Arabidopsis thaliana: one gene and its partner. The protein of the gene in region 1 interacts with the protein of each later gene in a pairwise test. Each region holds a gene or a part of one and is shown in the gene's direction. Other genes may lie near its edges. The genes, in order: SD3 and TIM23-2.

What was found.
Region 2: the proteins of SD3 (region 1) and TIM23-2 interact in a two-hybrid assay, tested with the Arabidopsis thaliana proteins (one study listed by BioGRID).

The regions. Positions count from the first base shown.
Region 1 is NC_003075.7:10,300-15,551, reverse strand, and holds SD3 (import inner membrane translocase subunit), read left to right. Parts: upstream 1-2,192; 5' UTR 2,193-2,266; coding exon 2,267-2,380; intron 2,381-2,592; coding exon 2,593-2,628; intron 2,629-2,742; coding exon 2,743-2,761; intron 2,762-2,845; coding exon 2,846-2,979; intron 2,980-3,111; coding exon 3,112-3,290; intron 3,291-3,372; coding exon 3,373-3,421; intron 3,422-3,535; coding exon 3,536-3,655; intron 3,656-3,759; coding exon 3,760-3,918; 3' UTR 3,919-4,737; downstream 4,738-5,252. Other genes in the region: AT4G00040 (Chalcone and stilbene synthase family protein), read right to left, coding at 1-631, 719-899; AT4G00030 (Plastid-lipid associated protein PAP / fibrillin family protein), read right to left, coding at 1,186-1,294, 1,373-1,438, 1,524-1,987; BRCA2(IV) (BREAST CANCER 2 like 2A), read left to right, coding at 5,188-5,252.
Region 2 is NC_003070.9:27,381,681-27,385,337, forward strand, and holds TIM23-2 (translocase inner membrane subunit 23-2), read left to right. Parts: upstream 1-1,684; 5' UTR 1,685-1,875; coding exon of another isoform or gene 1,876-1,896; coding exon 1,897-2,463; 3' UTR 2,464-2,844; downstream 2,845-3,657. Other genes in the region: AT1G72740 (Homeodomain-like/winged-helix DNA-binding family protein), read right to left, coding at 26-110, 254-468, 858-1,007; AT1G72755 (uncharacterized protein), read right to left, coding at 1,876-1,903, 2,101-2,138; AT1G72760 (Protein kinase superfamily protein), read right to left, coding at 3,608-3,637. UniProt on the Arabidopsis thaliana protein: Essential component of the TIM17:23 complex, a complex that mediates the translocation of transit peptide-containing proteins across the mitochondrial inner membrane. Links the inner and outer membranes.

The DNA.
Region 1 (5,252 bases):
AGGTCTCTTCCTAGCTTGAAGGTTATGCCCTCTTCTGACAGCCGCCCGTCGATCACCCCCTGTGTTTGGGGCAGGAACTGCTGCATAGCACAGTGAAGCTCCATGAAAGGAGATTCCGACTCTGTAGGGTCTGCTCCGATGATCAGGGCAGCTGCTCCATCTCCAAAGAGTGCAGCCCCGACTAAGTTGTAAGGACGAGCTTTGTTGGGTGGGCGGAACCCCAGAACGGTAGTCTCAGAGGTGGTGAGCAACACACGGCTCCCTGGGTTGTTCTCAGCAATGTCTTTGGCCACGCGCAGCCCACTCAAACCTCCATAGCATCCAAGAAAATACAGCATCACTCTCTGAACCTCGTTGCTAAGGCCCAGCTGTGCCGAGAGGTAAAGATCACCTCCGGGCAAACGGAACTCACTGGAGGAAACGTAGACAAGATGAGTGATATCTTCCACTGCCCTTCCCCATTCCTTGATGCAAACCAAGCTCGCTTCATATGCCATCTGCACAACCGCATCGTTTGCAATCTCAAGCCTCTGTTTGATGGTTGGGGAACCCTCGGTTGCTAGTTCAGGGTATTTGTGCAGCGTCTCCCGTGACATGACTGTGTAGCGTGTCTTGACAGTTGTGCTTTTGCCTAACATCACCAAGACACACAAACACGCTTATCTTTGCACAAGTGCTCAAAGAAAAAAAGTTGTCAAAGAAAGTAGAGGGAAGTTACACAAGTGTTGCAGCTTGTCTTTGATAGAAAGGTTATCGCATTTGATTTCACGGAGATACTCCTCCACGAGATTCTCCTGGGAAACAACATTGCTCGGCAAGGCCTTACCGAGAGCAAGCACTGTCGCCTTCCCCTGATAAGCAACACGCTTTTGTTTCTCTACCCTTGCGGACACCAACATCTTTGTGAGTTCACAATGAAATAAGAGACAAAGGATTAGTGTTGGCCTTTTAAGTCATGGATTGTGAAAATAACATTAAAAAAGGGCATAGAAAATGTGGGTGGTGTGTTTGTAACAAACACAGACAAAAACCCTAAATAAACTCAAGGATGACACTTTGAATGATCCTTCAAATTCCTCTTCCTCCTCCTCCCTATATTCCTGCATCATCTATTTGAGGCCCAATGATAAAGGAGAGAGACAGAAATGGTGTATAACTTATACAAGAAGCAAAAAGCATCACAAATTATACAAATGATTCAGTCCAGTTATAAGGAGCACGATCAACAATTAAGTAGTCTCCTCTGATGTCCTTGGCCACTCTGATCTCACCGTCCATATACACATTCTCAAACCTGTGGAACCAAAACCCAAACTCACTCTCTTTATCTATACAAGTAGCTCCGAAGAGGAAACAGAGAGAAGTCACTCACCAGCCCTTCCCAAATGGTGGCAGTGGGAGCTCCCAGTTCTTCCCTCTCAATACCGCACTATTGAATCTGAATATCAAAAACGCTATCAACTAAGCTATGATGCTACACATTTCGATATCAGAGCGTACGAAGAAGAAGTGGTTTTTGGAACCTGAAATTGACTCTCTGCGGGGAAGCGATATCGATATCGGAGCGTACGAAGAAAACCCCGTCCGGCGGGAAAGTGATGACGTTATTGAGGATCCGTTTATTCACATCGATCACCTGCAAAACGTCTCCGGCGGTCGTCCCAAACAAGCCTGCCTTTTCTATGATGAACAACTGTTCCTTCTCCGTCGTCCACAAGAGCCGCCACGTGGCAGATAGAGAGTCGTCTGTGGTGATGGAGCTGCGCCCGATAACCGTCATGGATTCGATGGCGTTCACGATTTCATCTCGCTTCTTGGGGTCTTTCTGGGTTCTCAGACCTCGATCCTCCTCGGAGATCAGCTCAAGCAGCTTCCTCTTGGCTCGCTGTGCTGGATTCGCGAAGATCGAGCAGCTTGTTCGAAAACCGGCACGACGAGTGCGGCGGAGTGGAGGAGAACATGCCGACAGCGAGAGCGCGAGCGCCATGTTTGCAAATTGCAATTTCCATGGTTAGGTTGTTGCACGAAGAAGAAGAAGAGATACTCTGTTATTTGGGTTTCTTTTCTAAAAAGCCCATTTGGGTTTTATTTGCTTTATCTCATGAGTCTAAGCCCAAGCCCAAGGAAATAGCTTGCACGTGCGCGTCACGTGTCTACGATAAAACCCCAGCAACGGCGAGCGGCTTTGCCTTGCTCATTCAACCTCGCTCGTCGTCGTCGTCGTCTCCACTTCGATTTTTCAATCAGTAATATTGGTGGTTCAGAGATGATGATGATGAATCTTTTAAGGAGATCAGCGATAGCCATCGGCCGCCAATCAAAATCGAAACTGGCGTCGTTTTCCTCCGCTACACAACCTTGTTCCGGAATCCCAAAATCGGTAAGGCTTTCGTATTCCATCTCACTCTGCCGGCATTTCTATATAATATTGGCTAAAAGCTATTGGTTCTTCTACTACATAGACACGGATTGTTTAGGATCTTGTGAAAATTGAGGTCGTTTTTTTCAGTGTCTCTAGTCCTGTTTGAATTGAATCTCTCTAGTGTCCTTGATCTGGGGAAAACTTACAGTGTTACTTTTGTTATATATCAGTCCAAGAGGGTTTTTAGCAACTCATTTCTTTCAAAGGTATTTTCTTCCCTTTACTTGTTAAATATTTGCTTCGACAACATTTTCTTTGCTCTTTACACCCTTTTGGGCTTATATGTTAGTCTCATACCTCTCATCGTTTTTCTTATGCAGGACTCTACTGGAGCTAATGGTCAGCAGTGATAATTGTGTAATCAAACTTCAAATCCTAGTGTTGATGTGTACCTTGTTGTTCTGACAATTGTCTGTTATACAGGACTATTGTTTCGCTTCCGAAACCCGCAAGCAAGTATATGTACGGAAGCTCGTCCAAAGAACATCAACTCATCTTACTTTACCAGATCTTTTGCATCAAGAACTTCAAAAGAACCTGGGAATCAGCAGAATAAGGTGTTTCTTCCTACAAGTTTCTACTTAATGTCTACGTTATGTGTTTGCCATTTATCACAACGCAAGCCGTCAAAAGCGACAGACAGCTTCTGTCATCTAATAATGATGCTTGCTTTGCCAATTGTTTTACAGGCTAAGAAAGAGGTGACGACTGTGGAGGATCCTTTTGATTCTCCTACATACCACATCCCGGAGAAGCCGGTGACCTTTACAGAAGGTGCGTCCTACAGTCTTGTTATTCTGGCTGGGCTTGGTGTCGCTGGAGCTGCTGGCTACGGTGTGTTTAAAGAGCTCATTTTTCAACCAAAAGAGTGAGGCTTCAGAAATCTAATTTGATTTATCTGCTCAGACACTTGGATTTGAGTAATCTAAAGACACCATTATGTATTCTAGGTACAAGGTCTTTGACAAAGCCTTGAAGAGAATTCAAGATGATGGTCAGGTAATTAGAAACTAACTCTACAGATTGATCATAGCGGAGGGGTGGTGTATGAAACAAAAGCATCTGTTTATAAAATGAAACAATTTCTGTGACTGTGATTGTCTTGTTAACTAGGTGAGGGTTAGGATTGGATCCCCCATCAAAGGCTATGGACAAGAAACTAGAAACCGAGCTGCTCGTCAACGTATACCCAACAGAGTATTTACAGATGAAGACGGAGTGGAGCATGTTGAGGTATTTCATTGTAGAACCTCTATTGCGCTTGGATTCACATTCTTGCTATATAAATTGTCTAGAGTTTTGCAGGTTTAACATGATCAAAATTGAATATGCTTCAGGTAAACTTCTACATCCGTGGGCCTCAAGGAGCAGGGAAAGTGTACACGGAGATGTTTAAAGACAAGGCAGAGAAGGAATGGAAATACACGTACCTGATCGTAGAGATTTTAACACCTTCCCCAGCCAAATTGATGCTGGAGTCTTATTTGCCTGCCTAAAGCACTCGTATTTATGACTCAGCAGATCCGGAAAACATTCAGAAACGGCTTAGATTGTTTTAGTTGGGGTGTTGGAGAAAAGAGAGAGAATTGTGTTACACATGAGCTGTAGGAATGACTTCTTATCAAGCAACTGTTTGCTAATTGAAAAACAAGTCTAAACTGTGTTTATGATCCTCTTGGGGATGTCTAGGATTTTGAACCGAATTCAAGTTTGAGGCTTGATAATATTTTTATGCGTAAACATGAAACAGAGACATGGAGAATGCATATATCATGAAGCATCAAGTATACAATAGAGGCAATCATGGATCAAACGGTGTTTATGGTATCAGTAAGACAGCGGAGAATGCAACCGGGACCAACTCTCTCTCTGAGTTTCCCCGAGCCATCAAGGCTACAAACATCTCGACTACAAGGGCCAATCAAATTACATAATCACGGAAAAAACAAGGATAGATACAAGCAAACCTAACACTCGAGCAATAATTTGAGTAATAGAAACAAGAAACCAGAAATCGAAACGAAACGGAACGAAACACAAGATTTCCTAATTAATCTTGTGTTTAATTAAGAAAAGAAAACACAAAAAAGTTGAAAGGTTTAGTGGTGCATCCACGTAGCAAGACATTTTAGGTGTACGTCGACCATATTGTTGGCCGTTTATAGAGCATCATCCACTCTCCTCGACGAGCAAGATCATGCCGCCTCTGGATTCTTCTCATTCATCGGTGTTCCTGCGATCCCCTCCGTAGCACCCTCCGCCTCCTCAGCGCCTTCCCCGTGTAAATTACCGTTCTGCATGTTTAGAAATTTGACGTGGAAATTGTTGCAATGTAACTTTCTGTGATACTTGGCTATTGTTGCAATGTAATTTTCATTGAAGTCAGTCACCAATGACCATTGAACAGATGTTTTAAAATGTCCACGTAAGCAATTGTTGTTTGGAACGATTTTCGGTTAGCATTCGTGCCTTTTTTACCTCAATAAAAGGCCGTGGCATTAACTCACTTGTCTTGAGACGTTATGTCGTTAAAACCAAGCCCAAAGTTAATTTCGGCCCAAATCGTTTTCAACTTTCCCGCCGTCTTTTAACTTTTTAGATTTTTGGTGATGGTTTTGGGGGGAAAGAAAACAGAAAATATAAAAATAAAATTTCCGCACTCCCGACTCTTGGTGTGGTAGGCAATTCTGAATCGCGAGGTTTAGTTCTCCGGCTGAATCAGAGAACGACGAGTCGGAAAAATTCGAAACTCTAGAACTGAATAAATGTCGACGTGGCAATTATTTCCCGATTCCAGCGGCGATGGTTTCCGGTGGGAAGTCGCTGGCCG
Region 2 (3,657 bases), on another chromosome or scaffold:
AATAGCAGAGAGAAATTTGTCAAACCTCAATGAAATGATAAATGGAACTGACATCAGATCCATTACCATCGGCTAAAGCAGAGAGAGCTTCAAATATCACCCCGTCATACCTGAAAATAGGGACATATCAGAAGTTTAGCAATACATGATGAAGATTATTACTCAGAGTTGATAGACTAGCATTTATGGAACTAGTCTCTCATCATACTTTCTGGCCTCAAGTATGAGAAATAGAGAACAAAGAAAGACAAACCTAGGAGCATTCTTTGTATTTTCATCAGGGATCAACTCAGAAGGTAAAGTACGCCGACCGGGAGGAGGTGGAATAGTAGGAATAGGCCGTGGAATAGTGACAGCATCATTTGCATCTGCAGCCGGAGTGTCGCCTTCCTCTTTGACTTTTGCTGGCCGTGCCTTATTAGTTAAACTTTGAGTACCAGGGGGAACACTCAAGTTACGCCACTTATCCTATTAAGTATTGAAACACACAAAATTTTCAAACTCTTCTTCATAAGACTACCACCAAGTAAAAGAAATCCATAGCAAAATGAAGGACAGTACTACTCTTTCCACCTCAAATCTCCAACTCAACCAAGCTAGCTTTAGGTATTGCACACTTGAATCAATAAAAAAAAAAACTTATAATCTATCCAAGGAATCTCTAATCCTATAACCAATGATAAGAGGCAACACTAATAAAACCTATTGCCAAAAGTTTTGATTTTTTATGGATCTTAAACTAAGCAGATACGACAGAGTACATAATGCACTCCGGGTTGGTCTCAAATTCGATGTCTAGGTTTAATATATGGTTCAACGAGAGTGATTTTAAAGAGGTGAGTGAAGAAAAGAGAAACCTTTAGGTCAATGTTGGAGCGATGGATGAGCTGATCAGCGAATTCTGGATCCCGGAGAATATTCTTCCACTTTCCAGGACCGTGCTTTCTGATTCCGGCGAGTAACGCCTCCTCTTCCTCCGCCGTCCACTTTAGTTTCTGGTTTCCCATCTAACCCTTGCGTGATTTACCTCGTGCTCTCTCTCTCTCTCCAAGACAATCGGCGTGTAAACGGAGTTAGACGCAGTCTCTTCGCCGTAGCTTTCGCCGGAGGTTTCGTTTATTTTTGGCTCTGCGCAGTTGTGTGACTGCGGGAGGAGGTTTCCAGTTTGCAAAACTTTTTCGATTATTTACTTCCGAATTTATGCTTTTTATTTTGTCTTCTATTTACGCTCTCGAAATTAAATCGAATTTTTTTTTTTGGCCTTTTGACTTAAATTAAAAACAAATAAGCTTTGTATTTGAATCCTTAATTATTTTATTTGAAGTTTAGTTCTCTAAATAAAAACTGATGACAAAAAAAATTCATAAAATTAGGTTCGTTCGTCGTAAAAATATTTCTGACATTATAAGAGAAACACCTGAAAATTCGAGGATGTTTGGTTGTCACGATGGATTGCAATTTTGCAAAGTAATTAAGTATGACTTTGAAAAGTCCAATGTTGAAGAGGTTAATTTTGTAAAAATTAAACTTATGGGGTCACATTCGAAATATCAGCAAATACAGTGTGTGGTGGTAAGAGAAAACCAACTTGGGTTTAAATAGAGAAAATAAAATAAATGGGGTTAAGTTCGAAATAAACGTAAACGCGAGTATTAAGCGAATCTGGTACTGCGCGTATCTGGAAACAACTGGACTGAGTCTTTCCCTAAAAACCCTAAACATAGATTTTTAGTTTAGTTTGGTTTCATTTCTCATTTCGGCAACCAAACCAAACATTCAGAGAGACACAACACAACCACATCATCACACGTTTCTCTCTCTCTCTTTCCTCTCCGTCGTCTCTCTCTCTCTAGCCACCACCAAAATCCTTAAAACCTAGACTTTTCTCTTCCATCGATGGCGGCTAATAACAGATCCGATCATGGGTCAGACGAAAACACAAGACTTTACAATCCTTACCAAAACTACGAAGTCCCAATCAACAAATCTCAGTACCTTTACAAGCTTCCTACCTCCCCTGAGTTTCTCTTCACGGAGGAGGCTTTAAGGCAACGTAGATCTTGGGGTGAGAATCTCACTTTCTACACCGGAACAGCTTACCTCGGTGGCTCCGTTGCCGGAGCTTCTGTTGGAGTCATCACTGGAGTCAAAAGCTTCGAATCTGGCGACACTACTAAGCTCAAAATCAACAGGATCTTGAACTCTTCTGGTCAAACTGGTCGAACTTGGGGTAATCGGATTGGTATCATTGGATTGGTTTACGCAGGGATCGAGAGTGGTATTGTGGCTGCCACGGATAGAGATGATGTTTGGACCAGTGTGGTGGCTGGTCTTGGAACCGGAGCTGTTTGTAGAGCGGCGAGAGGAGTGAGATCTGCAGCTGTAGCTGGTGCTCTTGGTGGACTTGCGGCTGGAGCTGTTGTAGCTGGGAAGCAAATTGTGAAGCGGTATGTGCCCATTTGAAGACTGCAAGAGTCTAATTGGCAGACTCTTTTTCGGGTCGTTGTTGAAATTTTTGATAGGGGAAATGGTGAGAATTTGATAGGTTTGGTATGTCTTGGAATCATAAAAATGAAAACTTTATTTGGTTTCTAGAGGTACAACAAGTCTGTATGTCAAGTCATAATGCAGTTTCACTTTGAAGAATAACCTGCAAACCTTTTTCTTATATTCATACTGATTAAATGTTTTGCCGATTGGTAATTTAATTTGTCATGAGTGTGTTTGTTCTAGTTAGTGTTTTATGTTTCTGTTTTTGATCAATGTTAACTCTTTCTTGATTCGTTGAGAAACTGATGTGTTGTATTACATTTGAAAATGAAGCTCTTCTCTCAAGTTTTTTCTTATCATTTTGTTAATTGGGATGGTGTAGTGTGTTCACATAATTGTATACCTCTGTTTATCTCATTGAGTACTAACCTGATATTTGATGGTGTTATTTTGTTACCTATTATATCCCCCTGGTTCTATTTCTCTGGACTGTTCTCTGCTCTTAGCTATTAATTTTGTCTCCAAGATTTCACAAGCTTATGATGATGGATCAGTCACTTTTGGTTTTGTGGTTTTTGGTTCTCAAGTCTCAGGCATATTGTGTAGCAAACCTTCTCTAAACTCTTACCGTCTCTAGACCTTATCAGCTGCTCTAAATGAAGAACAAATAGTGTCCTCTAATCTTTTTATTAAAGCCTTAAACTTTCAGTTTTGCAGCTTGCTTAGAATTTTTGTTTTGTTTCAGAAGATCATGTACCTGCAAAATGACATTTCGTCTGATTTCTTCATTCGAATGAGGGTCTTTACATCAATAAACAAGTCTTCTTTAAAGTGTAGAATTTTACATGAACAAAACTAAAAGAATGTTTCATATACAAAGATAAGGGAACTCCCCACACGCTATGGGAGATCACCCCACTGAACTCTGGAAGGAGCACAACTCATAAAAGACCAACCGTTGCCTTTGTACTTGCTTGTATGTGATCTTGGAGGTCGACTCCTTCTAGGTATAGGATGGTTACGGGTCTTAGAAGGATCAAGATAGTCGTGGATCTCAGGTACTGCCATTTTCAGCTTCTGGTTGATCTACGTCGAATTTCCATGTTTTTATCAATACTCAATATGATTTTCTCAATTCATCCTCTATCTACATGGCACAGAAATTAT